Linked DNA regions of Daphnia pulex. The protein of the gene in region 6 binds, or shares a complex with, the protein of the main gene of each other region. Links are inferred from orthologs where the notes say so. Each region holds a gene or a part of one and is shown on either strand. Other genes may lie near its edges.

What was found.
Region 1: E3 SUMO-protein ligase RanBP2-like (region 6) and nuclear pore complex protein Nup214-like share a complex: the UniProt entries of both Homo sapiens proteins name them as parts of the nuclear pore complex. The link is inferred for Daphnia pulex from reciprocal best matches to the Homo sapiens genes RANBP2 and NUP214.
Region 2: E3 SUMO-protein ligase RanBP2-like (region 6) and nuclear pore complex protein Nup205-like share a complex: the UniProt entries of both Homo sapiens proteins name them as parts of the nuclear pore complex. The link is inferred for Daphnia pulex from reciprocal best matches to the Homo sapiens genes RANBP2 and NUP205.
Region 3: E3 SUMO-protein ligase RanBP2-like (region 6) and nuclear pore complex protein Nup107-like share a complex: the UniProt entries of both Homo sapiens proteins name them as parts of the nuclear pore complex. The link is inferred for Daphnia pulex from reciprocal best matches to the Homo sapiens genes RANBP2 and NUP107.
Region 4: the proteins of E3 SUMO-protein ligase RanBP2-like (region 6) and SUMO-conjugating enzyme UBC9-B are in contact, whole or in part, in a crystal structure (PDB 3UIO), measured with the Homo sapiens proteins. The link is inferred for Daphnia pulex from reciprocal best matches to the Homo sapiens genes RANBP2 and UBE2I. Residues at the interface, in NP_006258.3 of Homo sapiens: Leu2651, Lys2652, Leu2653, Pro2654, Phe2657, Phe2658, Tyr2660, Tyr2666, Val2667, Glu2669, Glu2671, Glu2672, Asp2673, Asp2674, Glu2675, Asp2676, Phe2677, Ala2680, Val2681, Leu2684, Gly2686, Lys2687, Leu2688, Tyr2689, Leu2690; in NP_003336.1 of Homo sapiens: Ile4, Ser7, Arg8, Gln11, Glu12, Arg13, Lys14, Ala15, Arg17, Lys18, Phe22, Gly23, Val25, Val27, Lys30, Met36, Glu42, Cys43, Ala44, Pro46, Gly47, Lys48, Lys49, Trp53, Glu54, Gly55, Gly56, Leu57, Lys59, Pro69.
Region 5: E3 SUMO-protein ligase RanBP2-like (region 6) and nuclear pore complex protein Nup98-Nup96-like share a complex: the UniProt entries of both Homo sapiens proteins name them as parts of the nuclear pore complex. The link is inferred for Daphnia pulex from reciprocal best matches to the Homo sapiens genes RANBP2 and NUP98.
Region 7: the proteins of E3 SUMO-protein ligase RanBP2-like (region 6) and small ubiquitin-related modifier-like are in contact, whole or in part, in a crystal structure (PDB 1Z5S), measured with the Homo sapiens proteins. The link is inferred for Daphnia pulex from reciprocal best matches to the Homo sapiens genes RANBP2 and SUMO1. Residues at the interface, in NP_006258.3 of Homo sapiens: Asp2631, Val2632, Leu2633, Ile2634, Val2635, Tyr2636, Glu2637, Leu2638, Pro2654, Thr2656, Cys2659; in NP_001005781.1 of Homo sapiens: Asp30, Ser31, Ser32, Glu33, Ile34, His35, Phe36, Lys37, Val38, Lys39, Thr41, Thr42, His43, Lys46, Leu47, Ser50, Arg54.

Annotation. Positions count from the first base shown.
Region 1 is NC_060027.1:5,445,039-5,448,497, reverse strand, and holds the end of nuclear pore complex protein Nup214-like, read left to right. Parts: coding exon 1-2,227; intron 2,228-2,286; coding exon 2,287-2,535; intron 2,536-2,591; coding exon 2,592-2,745; intron 2,746-2,827; coding exon 2,828-2,855; 3' UTR 2,856-2,959; downstream 2,960-3,459. Other genes in the region: CDAN1-interacting nuclease 1-like, read right to left, coding at 3,321-3,450. UniProt on the Homo sapiens protein: Part of the nuclear pore complex. Has a critical role in nucleocytoplasmic transport.
Region 2 is NC_060022.1:5,063,116-5,067,249, forward strand, and holds the start of nuclear pore complex protein Nup205-like, read right to left. Parts: upstream 2,801-4,134; 5' UTR 2,621-2,800; coding exon 2,486-2,620; intron 2,428-2,485; coding exon 1,955-2,427; intron 1,895-1,954; coding exon 1,124-1,894; intron 1,065-1,123; coding exon 637-1,064; intron 579-636; coding exon 429-578; intron 359-428; coding exon 135-358; intron 73-134; coding exon 1-72. UniProt on the Homo sapiens protein: Plays a role in the nuclear pore complex (NPC) assembly and/or maintenance. May anchor NUP62 and other nucleoporins, but not NUP153 and TPR, to the NPC.
Region 3 is NC_060019.1:10,133,856-10,138,044, forward strand, and holds the start of nuclear pore complex protein Nup107-like, read right to left. Parts: upstream 2,801-4,189; coding exon 2,021-2,800; intron 1,962-2,020; coding exon 1,616-1,961; intron 1,557-1,615; coding exon 1,205-1,556; intron 1,146-1,204; coding exon 677-1,145; intron 612-676; coding exon 1-611. Other genes in the region: protein BCCIP homolog, read left to right, coding at 3,167-3,451, 3,512-3,610, 3,685-3,848, 3,907-4,078, 4,140-4,189. UniProt on the Homo sapiens protein: Plays a role in the nuclear pore complex (NPC) assembly and/or maintenance. Required for the assembly of peripheral proteins into the NPC. May anchor NUP62 to the NPC. Involved in nephrogenesis.
Region 4 is NC_060018.1:632,407-635,622, reverse strand, and holds SUMO-conjugating enzyme UBC9-B, read right to left. Parts: upstream 1,729-3,216; 5' UTR 1,576-1,728; exon of another isoform or gene 1,482-1,575; 5' UTR 1,473-1,481; coding exon 1,407-1,472; intron 1,332-1,406; coding exon 1,248-1,331; intron 1,135-1,247; coding exon 1,017-1,134; intron 955-1,016; coding exon 810-954; intron 740-809; coding exon 661-739; 3' UTR 501-660; downstream 1-500. Other genes in the region: receptor-type guanylate cyclase Gyc76C-like, read left to right, coding at 1-61. UniProt on the Homo sapiens protein: Accepts the ubiquitin-like proteins SUMO1, SUMO2, SUMO3, SUMO4 and SUMO1P1/SUMO5 from the UBLE1A-UBLE1B E1 complex and catalyzes their covalent attachment to other proteins with the help of an E3 ligase such as RANBP2, CBX4 and ZNF451.
Region 5 is NC_060021.1:8,259,612-8,263,769, reverse strand, and holds the start of nuclear pore complex protein Nup98-Nup96-like, read right to left. Parts: upstream 2,801-4,158; 5' UTR 2,644-2,800; exon of another isoform or gene 2,631-2,643; intron 2,540-2,630; 5' UTR 2,499-2,539; coding exon 2,447-2,498; intron 2,309-2,446; coding exon 2,066-2,308; intron 1,956-2,065; coding exon 1,561-1,955; intron 1,496-1,560; coding exon 1,252-1,495; intron 1,198-1,251; coding exon 902-1,197; intron 819-901; coding exon 602-818; intron 529-601; coding exon 100-528; intron 34-99; coding exon 1-33. Other genes in the region: condensin-2 complex subunit H2-like, read left to right, coding at 3,252-3,574, 3,644-4,035, 4,096-4,158. UniProt on the Homo sapiens protein: Plays a role in the nuclear pore complex (NPC) assembly and/or maintenance. NUP98 and NUP96 are involved in the bidirectional transport across the NPC. May anchor NUP153 and TPR to the NPC.
Region 6 is NC_060024.1:12,890,422-12,893,921, reverse strand, and holds part of E3 SUMO-protein ligase RanBP2-like, read right to left. Parts: coding exon 3,467-3,500; intron 3,404-3,466; coding exon 2,207-3,403; intron 2,142-2,206; coding exon 789-2,141; intron 717-788; coding exon 1-716. UniProt on the Homo sapiens protein: E3 SUMO-protein ligase which facilitates SUMO1 and SUMO2 conjugation by UBE2I. Involved in transport factor (Ran-GTP, karyopherin)-mediated protein import via the F-G repeat-containing domain which acts as a docking site for substrates.
Region 7 is NC_060017.1:276,948-279,586, forward strand, and holds small ubiquitin-related modifier-like, read right to left. Parts: upstream 1,429-2,639; 5' UTR 1,276-1,428; coding exon 1,267-1,275; intron 1,058-1,266; coding exon 917-1,057; intron 856-916; coding exon 784-855; intron 709-783; coding exon 649-708; 3' UTR 501-648; downstream 1-500. Other genes in the region: serine protease inhibitor dipetalogastin-like, read right to left, coding at 1-70, 140-268, 325-349. UniProt on the Homo sapiens protein: Ubiquitin-like protein that can be covalently attached to proteins as a monomer or a lysine-linked polymer.

The DNA.
Region 1 (3,459 bases), on a different chromosome or scaffold from region 6:
GGGGAAACTCAATCACACCATCCTGTGATCCCACAAGTATCACCTGATAAACAAGCAATGTTAAGGAGTGTATTAGCGCATAGACCGGTAGCTCGGATTCGAGCCGTTCGCCCAGAATCAGTTGCAGAATCACGCTTGCTGTCAAATCTCACCGGTTTCATTCACGGTGAAGATAAGAAAGATACTTCTTCAGTTAGTCCTAAGATTTCACAAGCTCCTTCCAAGACCATATTGCCCACTGTCAAAAGTGTAAGCTATTCGACGCCACAGGAGATTAAATCAGACCTGCCTATGCCTAAAATGGGGTTACCCGATCATGGATTCAATGCTAAGGTCTCTATGGCATCGTCTCGAGTGGATTTTGCCAAACCTACTCCACGTCCGCCCTCCGAGGTCGAAGATGTTACTCCGCCGTCTTCACCAGTTAACTTGGACCAAAAGGCCAAATCTCTCGGCAATCAGCTGATGATGAGCAGTTTGAGTTTACCCTCGCGCGCTCCCGTAACTACCGTGGAAGATACAAAGCCGGTGTCTAAAATGGCCGATTTGAAACCAGTCGTTTCTTTGCCTACTTCGCTTCCACCACCTTACGAGCCCAAACCTTCTTTCTCTTCAGTGCCCACGTCAACACCTATGCTTTCGTTTGGTGCTCCCAAGAAAGACCTAAACTCACTCGGATTAGGATCGACCAGTTTGTTCGGGAAATCTTCCTTTGGTTCCGCATTTGGCGCTGCTGCATCCCCTTCTACGACTATTGCGGCTGCATCATCTAAACCAACAGCCGAAGTTACATCACCATTCTCAACTTCAGGAACGCCGGTTACCAGTGCCGCAATACCGGCTACGTCAGTTCAGCCGCAGACAACTAAGGTTGTTTCTACTTCTTCGTTTGGCTTCTCTGCTCCACCAGCTTTATCAGCCTCCGCTTCAACTCCGTCACTGGTGGCATCGAAACCGGCAGAGCCAGCCCCGACTTTAAAAACAAGTTTTTCTTTCAAAGAGCTTTCATCTCTCTCTGGATCTGCAGCTCCGGCTTCCATTACCACAACAACCGTGACGCCGGCTGCAGTAACACCTTCAAGTTTTACGTTTTCTTCTACCTCCCTAACACCTTCAGCAGCAGCAGTAACCTCTGCTATCGCCGCTACTCCCTTGCCGATTGTAGCGCCGGCTTCGACCACTTCCAACACTGATGATTCAACTACCACCGTTAAACCGTCTGTCGCACCGACAAATTTCTCTTTCAGTTTGGCTGAAACTCCTAACAGTTCCAGTACCAGTGTACCAGGAGCTACTGCTCCTTTTACTTTTAATCTCTCTGGAACCGGTTCAGCTACTACTAGTTCCACACCCACAGGATTTGCAGCACCTTCTTCCACTCCTGTTGCTGGGTCATTGTTCTCTTTGACTCCATCAAATAAAGCACCCGTCGCCTTTGGTGTAGTTAATACTTCAAGTGTGTCCAGTCCCTCAATCTTTGGTCAAGCAGCAGCACCCGTTGTCCCAACAACGACACCAGCGGCCACATCTGTCTTTGGCCAAGCACCACCTCTAGTTCCCGCGACAAGTACCTCCGATTCAGGCGTGGCAACTTTATTTGGCCAAAGCAAACCAATCCAGAATGTATCATTGACTACTGCTGCCCCTGTCACTCAATCCGCTCTTGGACTGGCAGTTGCTCCCACTAGCACACCTTCCGCCTTGTCGCCAGCACCAGCCACCACCACAATTTTTGGTCGTCCATCAGCAGCCCCTGGAAGTTTGTTCGGTCAGTCTGTAACGACTGCCGGACCTTTCCCATCTTCCTTCGGACAGATTGGGTTTGCCCAGCCTACTTCAACAACTTCGACTACATCAAGCACCTCAGTCTTTGGACAGTCAAGCTTTGCCAAACCAGCTCAGGCTAGTGGAGTACAGCCGACTTCATCCTTTGGTTCACCCTCCGTGTTTGGGCAATCAAGTGGTGGAACACCCAGTGGATTGTTAGCAGGGAGCGTTTTTGGACAAGGTGCGGCTCCAGCAACAACCGCGATCAAACCGCTGTTTGGGGTATCTACATTTGGACAAACATCTGTGAATGCTCCTACTTCTTCAGCTCCAAATGCCAACCAAGGATTTGGTGCCGGTTTGTTTGGTAGCATGGGACTCGGTGGTACCCCAACCTCTGCCAACGCTAACCGCAATGTTTTCGGCGGATCGTCTGTATTTGGTGGTGGCACTCCATCTGGTAATTTAACATTTATGTGTGTTTATTTTTTCATCTTCTTACGATTAAGCTAATTTAAGGTCAAGGAACGTTCGGAGCGACTTCTGCGCCATCTTCTTTTGGTGTTCAACCTACTACTGCTGCTCCAGCTTCTTCGTTTGGCAGTACTTCACCGCCAAGTTTTGGAGGCTTTGGACAAGCCCAACCCGCATTCGGAGGAGCTGCGACCTTCGGTGGTTCCCCGCTATTCGGAAGCAAACCGACGTTTGGTGGTGGAGCAACATTTGGTTCTCCCGTAAACAGCAATGTTGCGCCAAAACCAGAAGCGGGTAACAATAATATTTCTATTCATCCATTTTCTTTTATTCATAATGTTTCTTGAAAGGATTTGGTGCCTTTGCTGCTTCCAGTAACGTCCCTACATTTGGAGTACTTGCAAACTCTGGACCATCTTTTGAAACTTTGGCAAGTAGCGGTAATGCCCAACCAGCCTTTGGAGGTGCAGCTTTTCCAGCAAGCAATCCACCATCATTTGGAGGGTAAGTCGGAACAATAATTTGTGCATAGTCTTCAAATTCTATTGAAGTGCTTAAACTTGAATCTACAACTTTTTTTTTTTAGGGGAAGTTCTTTTTCGTCGTGGCGTTAAATTCGTTGAAAGCTTCCTCTATTCTGGCCAAATTTACACTTATAGTTTTCTTTTAGATTGCCATTGAAATTTTGGAAATGGAAAATACACGCGTCCTTTGTAAACACGCTGTTTTGGGCATTGAATAGTTTATAATGAAATATTTCTAAAAGTACTTTCTTCATTTTTATCTTAAATGTCCTTTAAACAAAAGTCATTCGCTTACGCAAATACTCTCATTTCGTCGTTGCACTTCTGCAAGGCCCACTATTTTATTGCAGGATTTCATAACTGTTTTCCATTTATTATTGATTTTTGTAAATTACCTTTCGGTCACTCGCTTTGTTGATGCCTTCGTATCAGGAACGATTAAGGATAAAAACAAACTTATCGGTATTTAAAATATTTCCAGTGTATTTTTTAACTTGCGCTTTTCTAAACCATTGTTAAGAAAACTCATCTTCAAATCAAGATTTTAATAAGTACTTATGAATTTTGTTCCATAAAAATCATGTTCATAGGAAGAGCATCTCTTATAAGAATGATTCGGTTCTGGTGAATTTTCTCTAAATCTTCTACATATCCAAACCAATAGATAACTAGGCCCGGTCCAAATCTACGCATT
Region 2 (4,134 bases), on a different chromosome or scaffold from region 6:
CTGAAAATCATCCACACTGGGTTCGTAATTCGAGAGCAATTTTAAAAATAGCTTTACACAGGCATTTCCAATCTACAAAACGAAGTCAATGTTAAGACTTTGTTTTACAACTTTTTAAACCTAAACGAACAAACCTGCCATTTTTCCGTTTCATTGCGGTACGCCCTACCACTAAATTTCAGGAAAACGGAATCTTTAACGTAGAATAAGTAGGGATCAAATCCAGGCGTTCTATGTCCAGTTCCCAAGTTGGTTGGGATGGATATATCAGTCATCACGTCCAGTAATTTAAGAAAGGCTCTTGTGAGGGGGTATTCTTCAGCTCGAGACTCAACATCTTCCAATTCCGTGTGGAGACCTAATATTCAACCCTTTTTTTGTTTTTTACTGGGCAGGAAATTAATATAGAATTATCTTCATGCACAAACCTTTGACATTTGTTGAAACTATGCTTGTAGTTGACAAAATCTGAGCTATTTCAATGCTGTTCCACAGTGTATATGCGATGTCAGGTGACTGGGCGAAAGCTGCAAGAACCTCCATGATCTCTCCCTTCAAACTCAATGGCACAGCACAGCCTACAATTTAGAAGATGTATTTTTCGGGTTCATTCGATAGCTATTTGCTTTTACTTACCTAAGAGTCCGATCATCACGACTAATGGTATCCATGTTGGATTCTCGGCCAAAGATATCCTGGCAACAGGGTCATGTTGGAGAACGATTCGCATTAACTTCAAAACGACCTGCAATCCCTGAACCTCCTGTGGTGTAATGCCTTTTGTGAGGGGCTTGTGGCGGTAGATGGTGTCCGGTACAGGGAGCGACTCTTGGCGCAAACTGTTAAAATATCTGTGGAGTGATGAGAAAAAGTGTTCCCAAGAGATCAAATTGCTTTGACCGCCGTTGCTGTTTTGTTTCAGAAGGGTAAAGGCTTGGTGAGCTGCCCTCTTTCCATTTGCCAATCCGCAAAGCATGCTGGCATAAGAAATGTAGAGAGAAGGCGGTAGCAAATCCCCGGCCAAACGAATAAACTTATATAGGGCCATTTGTCGCTGAGAGACTCTGCATTAAAAAGGCGATAAGTTTTTATTTTTATTTCAAAATAAACAATAACCATATACCTGTAGTTTACTCCAGCATTGGCCATGTCACTAGACCAAAATTCAAGACACAGTTCCAGCTCTAGAGGATCCTCTCCGTACAGAACGGCGATAAAGTTAAGCAACCATTGAAAATCCAGCGGCAGGTTTGAAGGTGGCTCAAGGCCCTCTTGCTGATAGACAAAGATGTTACGTGCAACTTCATCGGCCTTATTACGAAGATCTTTGATTTTCAGGGGCATTTGAACAATTAGATCCGTCACAAGTGAATGTAATCGCCGTAAGTAAAACTCCTCTTTGTAGATATGATTTTTGGTTTGTAGTAGATGACTGAGAAAATTCAAAGCTTTTCCCTCTAACGCGACGTCTAGGATGGCTTCGTCTTCGTCAACCTGCATTTGAATTGGAGCGCAAAGTCCAGATGAAAGCGAACGGAAAGTAGCCAAAGTCACTGCCCAGGCAAGTTGAACTGAAGCTTGAAGGCCAATGTTCTTCCAAGGAAGTGGTTCTGTCAGACGCTTTTGAATAGTCGCAACAAATGCACTTTCCGAAGTGATGGGTAACAACCGGACGACGTCTTCACTTTCTTCAGTTCTAACGATACCGCTGATATCAATAGCATACAAAAGAGCCATGAAAAGAGTGACGTTGACGTTATCGACTTGTTCGACAGATGAAAGGTAATTCACTAGCAGCAGTGTATCGTCCCTACACAGTCCATTTTGAGCAGCCAAACAAAATACAATGTCCGCTAACGACTGCCTTATTTCAGTGAAGAAATCATGAACTTGTCTAAAATAAAAAACACAAAAAATTAAAAGAAAGAAATATTAATCTTAATTGTAAACAAACCTTCTGTGTTTTGGTCCACCGAGAGCTCGGTTTTCGTGGAGCAAATTGATTTCCTTTTCAAGGTTCAGTTGACTTAACAGGGCTATGATTTGATCTACCAAACCTTTTTTCACCAATTTAACGGTGTACTCTGTTATTAAGTCAACAACTTGTTCGCTGGTGTCTACAGCCCATGAAATTCCTTTCCTTGCTTGGATGAGAATTTTTAATGAATTGACAATGGCACGTCTAGCATCATAGTACAGCAGTACTGAAATCAAACCCCTGGTTAATTCTGGATAGTAATGCATTTGCTGTTCTGCTGTGTGTAAAAGTTCAACAGCAACATTTTCGTTTAGATTAAACATATCAGAGATAATGAGTGCTTCATCCACAAACGATTGTTCAAGTGAAGCAGTCGTCTTTCTTCCAGGGAAAAGAACAGGTTCTTTGACAGATTTTAGGAGAAGGTTTCTGTCATCGAGATTTTTTGCCTGAAAATGAATTTGACTTGAGCTTAGAACACAGATTTAATCTGATTCATGAAATTACCGGCTGTTTAAGAAGGGCAGAGAAATCTGAACGGTGATTTTTCAATGCTTTCTCCAGATTGTCTAGGCTGTTGCATTGCTGGTTATTAATTGTGTCTTCAACCAGACTGTGGAGGTCCTTAGACTTGGTCCACATCTTTTGATTTTAAAACTTGTGACAGTTCAACCAAAAGTAAAGCTTATTTCACTAAAAAAACCTAATAACCACAAGGGCAAAAGCTGAACGTATTCGAAACTTGGACTTCGAATTCGTCTGTGGGGAATTGTCGTGTGATAATTTTTCGTACCGGTAGTCGGTAGATGATGCCAACGCCACCTACCATCACAGCGCCATCTATTCAAAGTAAATTCCCGCCAGTAAGAAAATTGAAACAATTGCGTTGAAATTGAAACACGATTACCGCCAAAAACCCATTTATCTATCTATTCAATATTCGTCCATGGATTTATTGTTTTCTCAAAATAGGGTGTGGATATTTGAAAAATAAAGTAAAAACGAATCAGCTTATTTTAAGAATGATCAGACGGTTTGTAATCAAAAGAGTAACAAGTAATATTTACAAATGAACTGCAAATTATCCTGTACACATTATCTTGTCCACAACAGTCACGTATAACACGCACAAGAAAAAAGATTGAAAAAAAAGACCGACCACACACGAAAATGAAAAATAATAATTAATCGACAAGCACAAAAAAGTTGTTCCCTTTTATCATTATACAAAAAAGCAATGCTCTCAGCTGCTTTTTTTTGTTGTGGAGGAGTGGTGGTGGAGTTGGAGCAGAAGGAAATACGGGAAAAGTTCAGTTTCGCTCGAGAAAACATTATAAAGATGACATCGCTTTTTTTTCAGAATTTAATGACGCCCAATTTGGGAGACCGAGTCCAACGCGTCATCTCGATACAAAATAGAATAATAGCACTGAGAATTTGTTTTTTTTTTGTTGTTTTCACCTGTACAAATTACACTAATGTCATCCAACTGACTTGATAATACAGACGCACACTTACGAAGACACGATGCGCTGTGCCACAAGTTGCCATAGACGAACACTCACACTCACTCACACATACAAAGTCGATTCTAGCAGAATTTTTCTTATAAGATAATTTTTACTTTTTAAAAAATTTTCAGTGTTCAAACAAGGTAAATGAGGAAAATATGAAGGAAGATCAGGGCGAGAATAGAGGTTTTTTTCCTTTCAATGACACGCATTCACGCACACACAAAAAAGAACTGTTGACGGTTTGATTGTGGCAAAAAATTCAAAAAAAAAAAAAAGAAACACAATAATCATAAGAGTTGGGTAGGTTGAAGTGAGGAGACGGACGTTTAGGAACGGTGGTGTCCACCTATTTGGGTATGTTTTCCTTGTTACATTTATTTACAGGATTCGCATATTGGGGCTCAAAATAAAGAAATGAAATCCAATCGTCAATCGCACTGCGAAGAGAGAAAAAGATATAAGGGAGGGGAGGAAATCGTAGGATTGAGCATTTTAATTTTTTTTATTTCAAAACCTCCCAAGTTTTTATTTCCTCAAATTCGAAGAACGGTGGTTTTGTTTATCGCCAGTCGTTGCCTCCTAGACGCTTTCACCATATGTATATCTTTATAAGGTCAAAAAACACATCCAATCTTTGATGCT
Region 3 (4,189 bases), on a different chromosome or scaffold from region 6:
GGGATGCAAGTTTGTCGCAACAACTGTTGTTGCTGTTGTCGGGGAGAATTTTCCTCCTCGAAGGACATGCTATCAACCATCCAGCCTCCGTCAGGAAAAAGTAGGACGTTATACAGTTTGTCAATAGCTGATTGCGTGAGGGAATCGACGGCTGCCTGCCAGCGTTGAATTTCAACTTGATGTTGCTTAAGATGCTGTTCTTTGAGTAAGTTTTCAGTGAATGATAGTTGAGAACTGGCTCCTCCTCGCTGTTGTTGAACGGTAGCTTCTGTTTTCTTGGGCTTGGAGTGATGGAAACGTGTGAACCATTCTTGAAAGGCGTCTAGTGCATCAATGTAAGTCTGGATGCAAAGGTATTCACGGACAGCAGCCTCGACTTCAGTGGGCAAATCCGTCAATCCAGTTCGTGATTCCCATAGTTCGGTCAATATGGCGACTGTGTCGGGTGGAGTCAACTGGAACGTCAGCTTCACAGCTTCAATCTGACGACGGAGAAGGTATCCCCGCATGAGAGTGTTGGCTTGGATAAGCAATTGACTTCGCATTGACGGATCCATTAACAACCAGCTCAGTGAACGTATCCGGCGTTCATCTTCTGCCGTGGTCGCTACCTAAAAGTATTAAACAATTATGAGTACGCTATGCACGAATGCAGATCGAAATCTATATTAATCACCTGTAGAGAAGCATCAGTGACGTGTTGGACCATTCCGCCCTGGTCGCAAAGTTTGATTACAACTTGTTTGGCGATAGCGTTGACATCAAGTCCGACATCCTGGGCCAAAGATAGGAGGCGCCTTCGCTCCTCGTCGTCACAGGATTCTTCCTGTTCCTCTACCATAACGAGGCATTGAGCATACAGGCGAATTTGATCTTCTGGCAAAGGCAATTGTCCAACATAGACAGCCGCCAAATCAGTTCGTCCAAGATTGACAAGTTGTAGAACGTAAGCTTCCAGGATGGATCCGATGGAATCGTCACATGAGCCACGACCGATGCGCCGGAAGAACAGAGCAAGATGGGACATTAGCCGGATCATGTGAGGGCGTAGGTGAACGCTCCAGCTGTCACCTTGTTTCAGCCAAGACGACATTTCTTCAAGTAATCCGTCAACATCATCCATAATAAGGTAGCGCTGTATGATCCTGCATTTCAAAATTTGCTTTGGTAAATTTCGCATTAGACAAATTAAAGAATTAGTCACCTATATTGGTCACGGCCTTGGGCGATCAAAGTCTTATCTCTGGAGGCAGCTAAAGTTGAGAAAATGGACTCGACGGTCAACTGTTGATTCCAATATTCGTCTGGTAGAATTTGAAGTTGCCGTTTATAATTGACACAGCGACGAAGTTCCTTCTCGACACAGTGGTCGATCATGGCACGCAGATGAGCCCACAGTTGATCTTCCCAGGAACGACAGGCAGGTAAAAGGGCTTTCAAATGTCCACAAAGAAGAGCAAAGATTGCGCGCTCTTCCTCCGACAACTGCACATTTTCGCACTCTTTCCAAGTCATCGTCTTCCATATGTCACGATAAGGATTTCCAGATGGCGACTCTACAGTTGAGATAAATATTTTTATCGAATCCATTGGTTTCTACAAATCTGGAAATTACCTTTCGTGTTGGCTACATCCGTGCGAGATTTCATGTTGGGATCATGAAACAGTTTCCATCCTTCCAAAATTGCAGCCCGAAATGGTTGACCTGCTCGGAAACAGAGCTGCTGGGCTTCATCCAGCTGTCCACAACGGAGTCGAGCAAATACAGAACGAAGCAAACGCATTTCATCTTCTTTGTCAAGTGGGTGAAGACGTCTGTTTTGTTCTCGGTTAGGAGCATCGGGATCCATTTGAGTAACCATATTTTGCTCGACGTTATCTGTACTAAGCCCTCGTTTTTTACTGACCAAAGAATGAAGAGTATTTTCCCAGCCGGCAACCGCATCTCCGTAAAACTCCACCTAATTAGAGTATAATATATTATTTAATAAAAGAAAATTTTAATTACATTAAAAAATACCTGGCTGTAATGGGAATCGTGATAGACATCAGCCGCTCGTTGTTCCAGCCAATCGACTACGAGCTGAGCCTGTCTGATTATGGCATTTTTGTCATAGAGTTGTTTTACCAAGTCATCTTCACTTGTAACATCATCCAATCCACTCCAGATTTCATCAGACTCCATTTCACTGTCATGAAATTCAGAGTTTAAACGATCTTGGTAGAGAGATGCAACCAATCTCCATGTGTCACGCTCAAGTCTCAGTTCTTGCTCCAATTCTTGTGCTTGTGATAGTTTGTTGTGTCCACGAGGGGCCATTTGAATCAATTTTCGCAAAGCAGATACTTGTTCTCCACATTCTGACTCATATTCTGCACACTGATTAAACACTTGATGTTCTGCCCCATATGACTGAAATGTTTTGAGGAATCTCTCAAATAGTTCTAAGACATTTTCTACTCCTGGAACTTCTTCTTCTAGAAGGATGCTCATGAGTTCTTCATTTCGTTTCTTTCGTGATACATTGCTCACTGTTAAGTCTGCTCTTGTCGAATCCAGATTTTTCCTTTGTAAACCAGCACCAATTCTCGTAAATGTAGGATCACTTTCGAAAATAGTGTGGCTAAGATCATCAGACATAAAAGACATTGTATTATGTCGGTTAGGAGAAGGGAGGCAACTGGCCCCCAACATGTCTGATGTCTTTTCGAGTGAGTGCTTTATTCTTCGACCAGGAAGATTTAGTTTGCCAGTAACAGTTGAGTTAGAACCGGCAATAATTGGAGATTGAAACTCCATTGTGCTTATTTTAAAAAGATACAATAAAATTCACTGTCTTATAAAGAAGAAGTTTGAAGGTTTGAAGTTTTCCGTTTTTCGTTTTATTGTAACGTAGCAGACTAAGTAAAAGGGCGTTGCAATTCACGTTCAAAGTTTTATTCATTAAAATAATTATAATTAATTGAAATTGAAATAGTAATGATTTGATTTTTATAATTGTTATAATATTTAATACAATTTTATTCTATTTTTTAACTCAATTTTTAAGATTTTATTTCAAACAATTTGAATGTTCACTTCACTTCCTTCCTACCCCTTCCTAGCAGACAAACTTAAGTTTGTTTTTGACTTTTTGACACGTGTGAAAAATTGTCTTTAAAAATCATGGCGAATTTCAATACTAAACGGCCTATGGAAGAAGATAGCAGCGATTCTTCAGAGGAAGAAGAAGAAGAAAATGATTCTCAAGATGAAGAAATGGGTGAAGATGAGCAACTTGGAGAGAACGACCGAGAGATTCAAGTCGACTTTGAAGGTCAATCACCAATCGCTGAAGATTTTCACGGTATCAAGAGTCTAATGCATCAGCTTTTCCTAAAGGCTCATATTAATTTAAGTGGTCTGACGGAACTCATCATTCAGCAAAACTACATTGGAAGTATATTACAGGTAATAAAATCTTGTGAAGATGTAATTTGTGTACTTTACTAAAGATATCTACTTCTTCAGCAATGTGTGGATAATGATGAACCTGATAGTGATGATGAAGGAAATTCTCTTGATGAAGTTTTTGGAATTACTTCTGTAATTAACTTGACACATCACAAGGTGAGATAAAATTTTGAATTTGTGTTACACAAATTACAATTAACCCAATTTTTTTTGTTATTTACTTTTCCTAGGATGTGGAATGTATTAAAGAAGTAAAAAAGTACCTGTTGGAAAAAACACAGAAGAAACTGAGTGGATTGTTTGATGATCCATCTAACCAGATAGGACTTATATTCAATGAAAGGTTCATAAACATACCACCTCAAGTTTCTGTTCCCCTACTGGAAAATCTATGGTATACAAGACTTAATTTGAATTATATCCCAAGTTTAAATGTAAAATTTTGTTAATAGTAAGGAGATTGATGAAGCAAAAAAATCTGGAAAGCCTTTTGACTTTACACACTTCATTTTAATTTCCAAACTTCATGAATCTACAAGAAAAGATCCTGAATCAAGGAAAAAAAAAGTCAAAGGAGGAGCCACCATATTATGGGTTAATGCAGAAGAAGAACCAATTTCAGAGGTATTCATCTATTAATTCCACGCCTAAGTAGAGTAGGTTGTAATAAAATTTCGTCAAATAGATGGGTGAAATATTAGGAGAATATTCTGTACGAAGCGAGTCAGATGCAGC
Region 4 (3,216 bases), on a different chromosome or scaffold from region 6:
TCCGCAGACGGGAGAGGACTTTTCCGACCTCCACCGTGATGACAGAGAAAGCGTTGTGTGAAATTGCGCCTCCTTATTCTTGCATCCTCCACAGTCTTTTTACATGATGACAAATTTGCTTTACTTGTTTCGTGATTCGTATATTTCGCCATTTGAAAATGCCATACCCGATCTCCGATTCTTCTCGGTTAAGATTTTTAATCGATTTCAAGTCGGAATGTTTTCTTTGATTTTAGTGTATCTGTAATATTGTCGCTGCTGAAAATATTGTGATAAATCGGTTGTTGTTTTACATACCTTGTTTTGCACTTTGTACATCGATAACCCATTTAGTTCAAATTTTAATCAGGTAAGAGAGCCTTTGATGAATTCTAGTAGTTAAAAGAAGTTTGGTCTTCATAATCAGATATTCGCCAGATAAAACGCATATCAACAAAGTAGGTCACAACCAAATAAAATAGTCAAGTGACGTAATTGAAAAAAAAAAAGGTCAACAAGTGTTACACCTTACTTAGCGTTTTATTTCAGATCGGAGTATGTTTTCTGGACGATAAGTAAGTATTGAAATGAAGACAATAAGAATTTTTAAAAAACAAATAGAGCACGTGGAAAAGAAAAAGAAGTTAACTTATTCCTTGACAGCTGGATTTACTTGGGAAATTAAGACAGCAAATCAGTGGTGGCAGCCATAGCCTTGGCTTGTGCTCTAACACGTTTTTCGTACTCCATTCGATTTTGACTGGAGAAATAATCAAATGAAATATTACAATCCAAACTTTCAAGTTGTCTACTGGTGTAAAAATCATTACCAGTAGATAGTATAAGCTTCTGCCTGAGCCGGATCCTTAATATTGGGGTCATTTAGGAGATCTTGAATTCCAAGCAAAATCTGTTTGATGGTAATTGCAGGTCTCCAGTCCTTTTCTTCATCCAACAATGATAGACAAACTGTGCCTGGATATTAAATGCCAAAAGGTTAGCTAAAACAAAACACTCAAATAGCCATTTGATTCAACCTGATGGATAGACGTTTGGATGGAAAAGTGGGGGCTCAAATTTGCATTTTGGAGGAGAAGAGGGGTAGTCATCTTTAAAAATCATACGGATTTTGTACAATCCATTTTCCCAGGGAGTCTGTAAATGTATGCACAAGTTACACTTAATATTGTTACTTCAAACAACAGTGAATTTGGTAAGTATATCTGACACCAATGTGAAGTAAGATCTTTAAGTGTAAAACTCATTACCGATTTCTTGCCTGGAATAGCACATTCCCAGTTCATCAAATTGAGGGTTCCATCAGGATTCTTTGTGGGCCTGGCAACAAAACCCTAAAGGCAACGCAAAGATACACAAATCAAACACACACAACCCAACAACTATCGTTTGGCAAACCAGCAACTTACAAAGGGATGGTCTTTCCTCCAGCCTTTACGTTCCTCAGAAAGTCGAGCAATAGCAATACCGGACATTATTGGTCACTAGAGAATAAAAATTTCAGTGTGATGTAATAAGAAAGTGTGAATATGACTGAAGAAAGCAAGATGCAACAGCTCTTAAATAAATAATAGTTACCTTTTTTCAACGGCTGCCAAATAATTTAGCTGTGTAGTTTCGTACAATTATTGCCAGGGTTGCCTTAAGGTAATTCGAATAATTACAAATCAATTTAAAATTTAATTTGGGGATTTAAACGAATAAATGATGAAACATTTGCATGTAAAATATGGATTTCAATGAAATCAAACCATTTTGGCTGTAGCATGCATAAGCATTTTTAGTTTTAGTTTTCATCAACTAAAATTAAAAATGAACTGGCTATGCTGCCACTGCCTATGAAAGATGGCGCCCAGATGGTTCAAAAAACAACAGAGCAGTGAGTCACACAGGCATGCATCTTAAGTTCTTGTATTTTGTTTAAATTCCAAATTGAAAAATCAAGTGTTAAAAAAAATCATTGATATCTTCCATCTCATGTAGCTTTGATCGTTCAACATTCGAGACAAGCCAAGCGTCGTTTACGTAATGCTTCCAGAATATTCGAACACGTGAATCAACTAGTGACAAACCACAAAGGTATCACACGAAGACAAAACGAAAAAAGGTGCAAACAACCATGTCTCGAATGAATTAAGAATGATATAATCTCTAATCCTAAAGCCTCAGTTCAGTTTAACTTTGTGGATGGGGAAACTACAAAATTGATATAGAATGTTCAGAAAGGTATGAAAACATCAGTTAATTTGTCATATTAGGTCACAAACTCTAAATTTATTAAATGAAGATCTGTTATTCCCTATTATGGTTGTTTCAGCTAGGTACTTCTCGCATAGAAGGGTTGAATGTGTTAGTGCCAAAGTGGAAGGGAATGAAACATACTTGGGTATCTCAAAGCGGAAAATATCCTGTTAAATACTCATTAGATATGATGTATTGGTGATTTCACAAAACAATAGTGCTTGAATCACTATTTTGTATAGTTCAAAGATTATTACATGTGCCAGTTTTTAAACTAATTTCTTGCTTGGAAACGTAGTGTGCTATGTAATATTGTTGTGAGTCTGTCTTTATTTTTACCATTGCACTGAATAACAAATGACTCCTGAAGGGCTCAGGAAGATGCTTCTGAGAAAGTTAACTGTCAAGTAATAGAATAATGTCCATATCTAAAAAAATCTTTTGAATATAACTCCTCGTCAGTATTGGCTGTTACAGAGAAATGTCAATCATATTATAGAGCATAATTGTAAATGTTTTATTTCAGATTACTAACTATAATTTTATTATTAGGCGTAACCAATGAGTACTGGGGAATCGCGTCTTGAAAGCTTCGTGTTCCCTTCACATATTCGCACGTTTGAATGCAAATATATGGCGTTGCATGAAAGGAGATTACTGTCACCAAAGTGAGCAGGTATGTGGAAAGTAAATTTCTTTATGATAATGATATTTTATCAATAAATTAAAGATCAAAATGTTGATTTAAAATGAGCTGATAATAAAAAATTGAAATGTAAATTTTGTGACAAACGTTTATATTCCTGTAGCCAATGTAACAGACATCTAAGATTGGGATTTCAGACTACAGAAAGGACGACCAACAACAAACATCAATCGTTGTAGCCAGTGCGGTAGCAAGAATGAGGGATAGATAATTAGACAACATTAACAGAATAAGTAACGGATTATTCTGCTGTAAGACGTATGCCAGTGACT
Region 5 (4,158 bases), on a different chromosome or scaffold from region 6:
GGGCGCTTGATTTGATCAATTCTTCTGTTTTTCCTGAAAACGCAATGAAACAATTAATGAATGAAATGCGTTCAACTGTGTTCATTCGAAGTGGCTTACCTGACGGTTCCAGCATTTTCCGGAAGAGAGGATGATCACTAGACTGAGAAATCTCACTTAGCGTCAAGATATACTGATGAATAGGCAACTGGGAACTGCTAGTTCCAGTAGTAGGCTGCGTCGTTCCGAAAGACATTGAAGTTGAGGGTGCTCCAATACTTGTGTTCCCAAAGAGTGAACCGGGAGCGCCAGTACCCATCCCACCAGTAGCTGTTCCAAAGCTAGGTGTAGTGCCAAAGCCAGAACTTCCAAAGGGAGTACCGCCAAATGGACTGGGCTTTGCATTTGCAGCCGATGCCCCGCCGAACATTGTATTTTGACCGAATCCTAGAGTCGACGGAGTTGATGTCACCGCACCAAATGTTTGCCCGGCTGGTTTGACTCCAAAAGCCGTTTGTCCAGGTGTGAACAACCCAGTTCCAGTAGTACCTATAAAAAATACAGTCGAAATTTTTTTTGGTGCAAACACAAACAAACAACAAAAACAATTTCCTGATCTAACCTGATGTACCAAATCCACCGAACGCTGGCGTCGTTGTTTGAGCGGGAGTAGTTCCAAATGCAGGGGTAGGTGTCGCTCCAAAACCAGTTATTGGTTTCGCACCGAAGATGTTGGATCCAGCGGACTGAGTGGTTGTCGTTTGAGGAAAACCAAAACCTGCTGTTGAAGTCTGAACTCCCATTGCTGGCTTTGGAGTGTTGAAAAAGCTTTGACTGGTCTGCAATAATCAGAAATAAAAAGAAAACGATAAGTAGGAAACAATCTCAAATAAAAAGGAATAAATAAAAATATTATCATTACCTGTTGTGGGGCACCAAATCCAAATGCGGGAGCGGGTGTTTGTGTCCCGAAAGCAGGAGTGGGTTGGCTCGTAGATTGGGGACCGAAAATCGATGAGCCAAAAGGTTTATTTTGTTGTTGCTGACCGAAGAGACTGGGTTGCTGCTGTTGTTGCTGTTGAGGTGCAGGCGTCCCGAAACCAAATGATGATTGAGTGGAAGTAGCAGGTTGACCAAACCCCATGGGTTTTGCTCCAAAGGCCGAAGGTTGAGCTTGTTGCTGTTGAGGCTGTCCAAATAAGCTCGGCTGTCCCATAGCTAAATACATACGAATTATCTCTTTTGTTCATCATACACAAGAAAAATACTTACTGGGTGCTGGTGTTCCGAAAAGGGGCGTCTGTTGAGTTTGTCCAAATAACGGAGTTGATTGGGTAGTCGTAGTGGTCCCACCAAATAATCCTCCAGTTTGTGGTGCGGTTCCCGGGGTCGGTCCTTTCCGTCCTACAGAGTAGTCTTCAAATCTAAGTTCTTCCAAAGATTTATTGTCATATTCTTTCATGCATGTTATACACTGATGGTGTGTGTTTATTGTCGTTTGGACATTGTTTTTCATCTAAAGACCACAAAATGAAAATTATAATTCATAGAGAAAAATATGTGTATGAATAAATATTATACCATAGAGTCTGTCCCTGTTAGAGGACTGAATTTTACTGGGGTACCAGTAATGGCTCCACCAGTACCACCAAATCCCCCAATTGTGTTACCAAAAGATGATGTCCCAAACAAACCAGTACCCGTTGACGGCGTTGCTTGTGCTGTGGGCTGTCCAAAAAGTGAGGTGGTTTGAGTGGGCTGGGATTGGGGTTGTCCAAACAAGCTACTGGAGGTACTAGTTGCTCCAAAGCCAAATGTAGGTTTAGCTTGAGCTCCAAATCCTGTATTGGTGGCTGCTCCAAACATGCCAGTTGTACCAGTTGAAGGGGCAGTTTGTTGGGTATTAGATCCAAACATACCAGTTGAAGCAGCAGGGGCTCCAAATAAGCTCCCCCCTGAAGTCCCACCACCAAATCCTTTTGTTACAAAACCAACAACATGATTAAGTGCTCTTTGATTGCAAATTAATGAAGTTCATCAAAGATATCTACTGTTTGATGAAATGTAACTATAAAACATAAAATACCTCCAAAGCCAGTATTAGTTGCAGGTGCTCCAAATCCTGCTGTAGGTTGTGCTGCTCCAAAAGTGGCAGTAGGTGTACCAAACAAACCTCCCGAGGGTTGGCTTGTTGTAGTACCTGTGCTTCCAAACATCGAGGTATTTGATCCAAAACCTGTAGATTGGAAAGTTGGTGCAGCCGTTCCAGTTGGCTTTGCCCCAAACGAAGACTGCCCAAATCCTGTTGATGTATTTGTACCGAAACCGCCTAAATGCAACAAACAATGGAGGGCAAACAAAAAATGTTGAAATTTAAATGGTGACGTAATGACAAGATAAGATACATTTGTAAACATGAAATATGCTTATGCAATGGTAAAGAATAATAATTGTCTGGATGCATTACCAAAAGTATTTGATGTTGGGGCTCCAAAAGTGGGTCTATTTTGTCCAAACATTTTTAAAGATGTATCATTGAAGAAGCCGGCACACTCCGCAGCTAAGTAAAAAAGAAAATGTCAAAAATGTCTCCCAATATTTATGGAGTACGAAATGCAACACCACAGAAGTCTTAATCTCGGAGAACTCACAATTTGAACTTACAATGGCTAGCGGTCGTCACACAAGTTTTTAGAACACAACAGTAATCTCAGCACGCGGGAGTCGTATGAACTTGCTGACAATTCAATGAAACGTTGAAAAGGCAAGACGGTGCTCATACGAATTACGAAAGGCAAAAAGCAGTTGCGGCGCACAAGAATGAGAATAGAAAGAAGGCCGTTTGACTGCGTCTTCCAGCGGTTAGTATTCATTAACTTGCATTTAGCAATTCAATATGTTTACACTATGATGACACGAAATTTAAGAGGTGTAAAATATTTTAATTAGAATTTGATTGTTGCAAAATTAAAGAGTTTTGGTTAGTTTTCGCAAAAATCTAAACACTGAGAGTCATTATAGGTGGCGCTACGTACATGGCCACCAAAGTTTGACCCTTGATTTAGTTGCATAGTGGGCCTTGTACTTCAGAACTAAACGCAACACTTACGTTTACTCCAAAATTCAATTTTTGAATTGTTGTGTTTTCTTGTTTGTTCAGGCAAAGTGGCTGACAGTTTATTTTTCAATATGAAAAATGTTCTTCTTTTTCTGAAATAGTTAAAGATTCGAGATATTTTTTGTTGTAATAAGTTTCGCAGTCGTGTTAAACAATGGGCCCTGGTCTTGCGAATTCGAGTGGGAGTTCTGTTGAAGAAGATGATGTTTTCAGTTCTCAATTTGCTGCTCTTCTTAAGCCAATTCGAGAGCTTACTAAACAAGGATGTTGGGAGCTGAATATAGCTGATAAATTGGAGGAATATGTCCAGTATATTCAAGATTTGCGGATTGAAGTTAATGTAAACGGGGAGCAAATGAAGCTAGATTTTGCTAAGGCTGCTATGGTTGTACAGAATAGTGCACAAATCTATAGCAAGAAAGTTGAGCAGCTCTGGCTTCTTCTCCAAGAAGTGATTGAGTTTTTAAGTTCGAATGGGTAACTAAAATCATGTACTGTACAATGTTTTACTTTCTAATAAAACACATTTCTCTCTACTCTCTATAGGAATGGTAATGAAAATGATGAAAATCAAACACCTGGCTCCAAGATAAGAAGAAATCACCGAAAAAAACATCACAAAGGAGATGTAGATCTTATCACAGAACCAATTCCACTGAAGTTTAGAAAGTTTGGCTCAAAATTAAAGAGAAAAGCTACAGCCAAAGACACAAAAAAGATCCAAACTTTACCGTATGAAATCTTGCAACTAGAAGAAGTTATAGGAAGCTTAAATTCTGTTAAAATTAAACTCTACACACTTTCAAACGAGCATTTGGGTTACCCCTCTGATCTAAGATCTAATTTCCCCTTTGACCCTTACACTTTGTTTTTGCAAATCCATCACGCAAACGGATTTAAAGTACATCCCGAGAGAGATGTCCTTAACGAAAACCAAGGTAAAATGAAAAATGTGGATATTTTTTTCCGTTTATTAATTTATTTTATTTTTAACGAAGAAGCTGAACATTCCGTCGCAGATTTGGTGCCAACCGAACCAGTTCCTATAACGTCTATGCACC
Region 6 (3,500 bases):
TCGGTTTTGTTAGGCTCTCCAGGTTTGCTAGTCTCACAAGATGGACACTTCATCACACTAGGGTCGTTGCGCAAGAGGCAGCCCTGGCATTCCCAGGATCCTTCTTTGGGTTTAAACTTCTCACCGAACGTTTGAGGTTCTTGGCCTTTCATTTCTTTCGCTGCTTCGACTTTTTCAATACTGATGTCAGCAGATTTCTTCTGGGCTTCATCGAAAACGCCCTTGAACTTCTGGGCCTGATCCATGGTTTTGAACCTCAGTGCAAAGGTTTCCTGAACTAGTTCACCCTCAGAAAAATCTTGTGCAGACCATGTCCATGTACGGTCTGATGTCTGCAAAGGCTTCGGTGACAGCTGAGGAGTAATGTAATGGTTGCAACAGATTTTGAGAACCTGATCTCTTCTCATCAACAAACGAGCTCGGCCAGTGATTTTATGTTCCAAAATCTTCATTTCACCTCTTCCCTTTTCCTTCCACTCTTTGGTTTCAGTAACGTAGCGATAGAGGATGGCTCGATCGATAAATAACAACTTTTCTTCTTCTTCGCCAGTCGATACTTCAATTAAGGCAGGTAATGGGATTACTGGCTCAAAGACAACATTGGGTTCATAATGTTCTCCTTCATTTTCCTCTCCATCCTCCTCCTTGCTCGTATCTTTCGTCTTATCGCTCGGAGTAGTTGATCCGAAAAGTGGTGTTCCGGTTCCAGGGAACTCCTAGAATTTAAAACATGACAAGTCTGTTATATGAAATTGCACAAAATTACAATTGAAAATGTAGAAACATACTTTGTTTGGAGCAATGGTAAAACCGGTCGAAGACTGCTGTTGGGCTAACAGAGAAAACAGCATACCAGGTTCAGCCTTCTTTTCTCCAGCGTCTTTATTTGCAACGCCTCCGAACCCCCCAAAGGAGAAACCAGCAAATGGGCTAGGCTTGTCTTCGGATTTTTTCTCATCTGAAGGCGCCTTTGGTGCTAAAGCAGGAGTCGGATTGCTATTAAAAGAAAAGCCGGCGAAAGGACTAGGCTTGACTTCTTGTTTCTTTTCCTCCAATGGTTTTTCTGGTGTTACAGCAGCAGGAACCGGCGTGGAAAAGGAAAAACTTCCAAAAATTGGTTTAGTTTCAACTGCTGATTTGGGAGTCCCAAAAATTGAGCCAGGTAGCACGGAAGACGTCGGTGTTACTCCAGTTGTGGTTGACGGTGTCACTTTGGTGGTGACGTCGGTTTGACCATTAGTTTGAGCCGTGACTACGGCCGTAGCCAATTTGGGAGGTGAAAATGAAAATGGAGCTTTCGATACCACGGTTTCCGTTGAGGAAGACGGCAGAGCGAATGAAAAAGCAGGTTTGCTTCCTCCAAACGAAAACGCTGCAGAGCTTGATGTTACCGCAGCCGAGCTGGGCGTCGTCGTTACTCCAAAAACAGGTGTAGTTGTTGAAGTCGGTGTTGCGGCAGCCACACCAAACCTAATTGTAGCAGGAGCTGATGTAGTAACGGGAGTTGGAGTTGAAAAACTAAAAGAAGGCGCTGTCGAGGCTGGTGTTGTTGCGGCAGCTGGAACTCCAAACTTCATGCCACTAAACGCGGGAGCTCCAGTTGAAGGTGTTGATGAGAATGTAAATCCCGTGCTAGCAGGGGTAGTCGTTACCGTGGTAGTTTTGAACGCCGTAGGTGTTGTCGAAGCAACAGATGCTACAGAAGGCATTCCAAATTTCATTTGAGAGAAAGGAGTTGGGGCTGGTGCTTGAGCTTCTGTCCCTGGTTTGAGTGTTTCGCAGGATACACATTTGGTAGCTTCTGCCGAATTGTTGACATAGCACATTCTGCAAGCCCATGATCCACTTTTGGGAGCAAATTTGTCCCCAAATCCTTTAACTGGTGCTTCGCTAGCCTTTTTGTCTGTTGTAGTTGCAGTATCAGGCTTAGGTTTAACAACATCGGCTGTTTTGGCCTTTTCAAAGGCTTCTTTGAATTCAGTGGATATTTCTTGAGTTTTGAATTTGGCAGCAAATTTTTCCAGTTTTGCTTCGCCATCTGCAAAATCCATGGCGGCCCAGATCCACGAATTGGCTGAATTATTCATTTCGGATAATTTGATGTCCGCCGTAATTGTGTGATTGGCACAAATCTTGAAGACCTAGATAACAGAGAACAACAAATAATTAATCCTGCGATCATAGAAATAGAAACAACCCATCCTACTTGATCACGGCGCATCAGCAATCGAACTTTCTTCGTAGTCGGGTCTTGAAGAAGTTTTAGTTGGCCAACACCACGCTCTTTCCATTGGTTCTCGGCAAAACGGAAAAGTTTGGCCCTTTGATCGAAAAGTACGTCTTCACCTTCTTCTCCAGTCTTTACTTCCACTTCTTCCGGTAAAGGAATAATAGGTTTGAAATCTGGGTAGTTGTCAACCTCCTCTTCTGGAGCGTAGCTTCCATCAGAACAAGTGGATGCTTTGCGATCACGGGCTGATTTAGATTTATCCGGAGTGGTAACAGATGAAAACTCTGGCTCTGGGATATTGGCAAGCAGGCTTCGAGTAGAAAGCTGGATGGCTGGAGATAAAGTATTATCAACTATTTTCTCCGGTGTAGCCTGTGTGGGAACATTAATCTGATATGCGTGAGGAGCAGGGGCAGTGGAAGATGCTGAATAACCAGCTGCCGCTCTGCGGAGGGCCTCAGAAGCCGATTCCACGTCGTTTATGGGTGTTGGTGCAGTGCTGATTACGGTAGGTTGCTGTAAAGTTGCTGCAAGCAGTGATGTATCTTTTGTTCCAATTCGGGAAAAAACAGACGGAGCTGGGGGTTGGGCAGCAATCTGCTGTTGAATAGGTGGAGCAACCATCCCAGGGGGCAAATAAGTCGATCCTGGTGACGGAGTTGTAACTTGGTCCATTCCCCAATGGGGTATTCCCGGTGGATACGAATAAGTTGGCGTAACGGGGAAAGGACCTGGTGCACCTGGAACTCCTACGTACGGAAAGCCTGGATATTGCTGGTATGCAGAAGGGTGGAATGGAGCTCCATAGGTCGGTGGATATCCGTATGCCGGTCTCGTTGCAGGAGCAAATGGAGGAGCATACAACGGCATATTGATCTGGGGGGCAGAGGGACCAGAGCTCTTCAATTTTCCTTTCAATTTCACTAAATTATCGAGGTCGGTTTCTTCCTCCTCGTCTTCTTGTTCTTCCCAATCTTCCACGTCGCCATCTTCGTAGCATCTATCATCATAGGTCTCAGATGCCTTTTCAGACGACTTTTTCCGACTCTCTTTCACTTCATGTTTTGCTTGCATCTCAAGATGTGACTCCAATTTTTGTATCAAAGTTTTGATGTCCACGACTTCGGCCCGAATTTGTTTTAATTCAGTTGAAATTGCTTGGTTAAATTCCTCCTAAATATTCAATTGATACATTACATAAATGAATTGAAGGGACAACTGTTATGTCAAACTTACCTGTCGCTGCACCATTTGTCTAAGTTGAGCGTCC
Region 7 (2,639 bases), on a different chromosome or scaffold from region 6:
ACGACTGAAGAATAGTTACATTCACGAATATCAGGTCGAAGACAGCGTCCTTTATAAGCTATTCGAATCACTGAGAAAACCAAACAAATTCAACACGGATGGAACCATTTCCTAAAAAAGAATATTTCAAATAGCCTACTGTTTCCAGGGCTAGCCTTATTATGGCACTGTAAAGCCTTCAGATTCGTGTAGGAAATCCCGTTAACCCCACAAAGTGGTTTATAACTTTTGGGAATTTTACAACTTGTTGCACCTACTACTAGTACAACTGAACAACACAAAATAAAGTATATTATAAATTCTTGATTGACAATTTATTTTTACCAAGCAACAGCGTTGTGCAATGCATCCTCTCTCGAAAAGGTTTGTACGCACTTTGCGATCAAAAGCAAGAAATGGAAGTCAAGACCTTTCATCCTTGAACTTTGATGTCAATATTCATAGCAATACAAGTTGATAGAAACAAGTGGCAGAGTGCCCATAAGTTAACGAAAGGATCATTCTCGGTTACGAAAATGGTTTTATTTATTCGATTGGAAATGAAGAACAGAAAGCAGGGCGATATTTTGATGACAACATTGGAAATTAAAAGACAGTTTTGTCCAGAAAATGTGGAAAGTTTTCCATGAATGCATCGAGGTTCTTAAATTAATTGCCACCAGTTTGTTCCTGATAAACCTCAATGACATCATCATTCTCCATTTCCAACTAGAACAGCAGTACAGAAATTCATTACTTGCATATCATTTAACACATCAGCTAAGTGCATTAGACACAACATACCTGTTTAGGGGTTTCATCATCATTAATTCGCCTTCCATCAAACAAAAACCTCAGCGAAGTAACTGGCACACCCTGAACACAAAGAAAATCTTTATCAATAAGTGAAAAAAAAAATGACAGGAAAAACCCTTACCACTCTTTCACTATAAGACTTCTTGAGTTTGCCCATCTGTGTCGTCATCTTTACTCGAAAGTGAATTTCATTTGAATCCTGGCCAACAACTTTCAATTTGATGTACTCTGATCCTGCATCACCGGCATCAGGTTTCTGATCCTGTATATTAAAAATAGAAACCACAGTTAGCCAAATTGGTATAGGGTAATGCAAAGGCAAACAGTTAAAATATCGAACACATGATCAGAACTAAAAAAAAATCGACTATCCAGCAAAGACAACACGTGAAAACAAATTTTATGGAAAAAGAAACGAATGGGGTAAATTTAGCAATACTTAAAAAGTAACATAGATAGTTACGTGCTTACATCAGCCATGGTTAAAACAAGTTCTTTTTCTAAAACTAGCAGCACGTTTGAGACGACTCTATTGAAGAATAATGAATAATGGCGTGGGCCAAAAAAGCGCCGAGAATAAACGTTGCCGCACCAGCTATATACGTCTGGATGCCGGCACTGCACTAAAAACTTATTTTAACAACGGCCGGCCACGTATGAAATGAGTACATTTTTTTAAATTAAAAAACTTTTTTTAAATAAATTGGAATATATTAATAAAATTTGTAGGATTTTTTTTAAATTTTTTGCTGCTTTGAAGAATATTTTGCTTGAAACAATTGCACAATATGTAATTTGGGATTGATAATATTTAAAATTAAGACTGATGATATCCAATGGCTTGATTCAATAAAAATATAAATTGAGATCTTCTTCGACTACATTTTGGCTGCTTAAGCAATTATTACACAGTTAGCAATCGTTATGGATGATTATTAGCAACGTGTGCGTGCAGTTGATGTCCCTTAATTTAATTTGATAATCATACATCATATTAATGTTTCATGAATTAATAGGTTTACAGCCGTCACTACGTCCATAGCACTCACTCCATAAAAATTTTTGCTGAGATTGTAAATGCCAACCGCAGCATAGAAACGAGTTACTCCAATAATCAGTTAGCAAACTAGAATCGAATTTGGTGAGTTGATGACTTGAATTATTAAATGGCGGGACGACTGCTGGTTTTCCCTGTACGAATTGATAATGCTGTCGTAATAAAAAAAGGAACATTGTTGCGACATCTGTAGGTAGTAAATAATTTGTGTTGTTACAGTTACAGTTTCGCATCGTCGGATTTTTTTCTGTTTGCTGACTTCGTTCTTTTGAATGAGCGACACACCAGTATTAATCGACCAATAGCATCCTATTCCAGGGGAATTTTAAGAAAATTTCTTGCTTACTGACAAGTTGTGTCTTATGGAGTACAGCAAACCGAAATTATAGAAGACTATTTTATTAGATATTTTTGAATGAATGTTAAATTTTGGTTTGATTCTGTAAACCTTCCACTGGAATTCGAGCAATTTTTTTTAGTAGTCAAACTTGTTGCTAACCCAACGAAAAATTTCCAACAGCGTCATTTTCATTTTAGGAGTCGAATTTATTGCCATTTTTATTAATTAATTCCATATAGCTATTAATGCGTTGTTGTACAAATTATTTTGTTCTAGATTATTGCGCTTTAGTATGAAATAAAACCTTACCTTTGAGACGGTTTGGGGGTTTTATTACAACAAGATAAATTTTATTATACAAGATGATGCCTCTTCTTTACAGAAATATTTTTTAAGCATTGCACTGATCCTTCGGTAGTTGAACAACAGTCAGACGAGGAAGCCAAT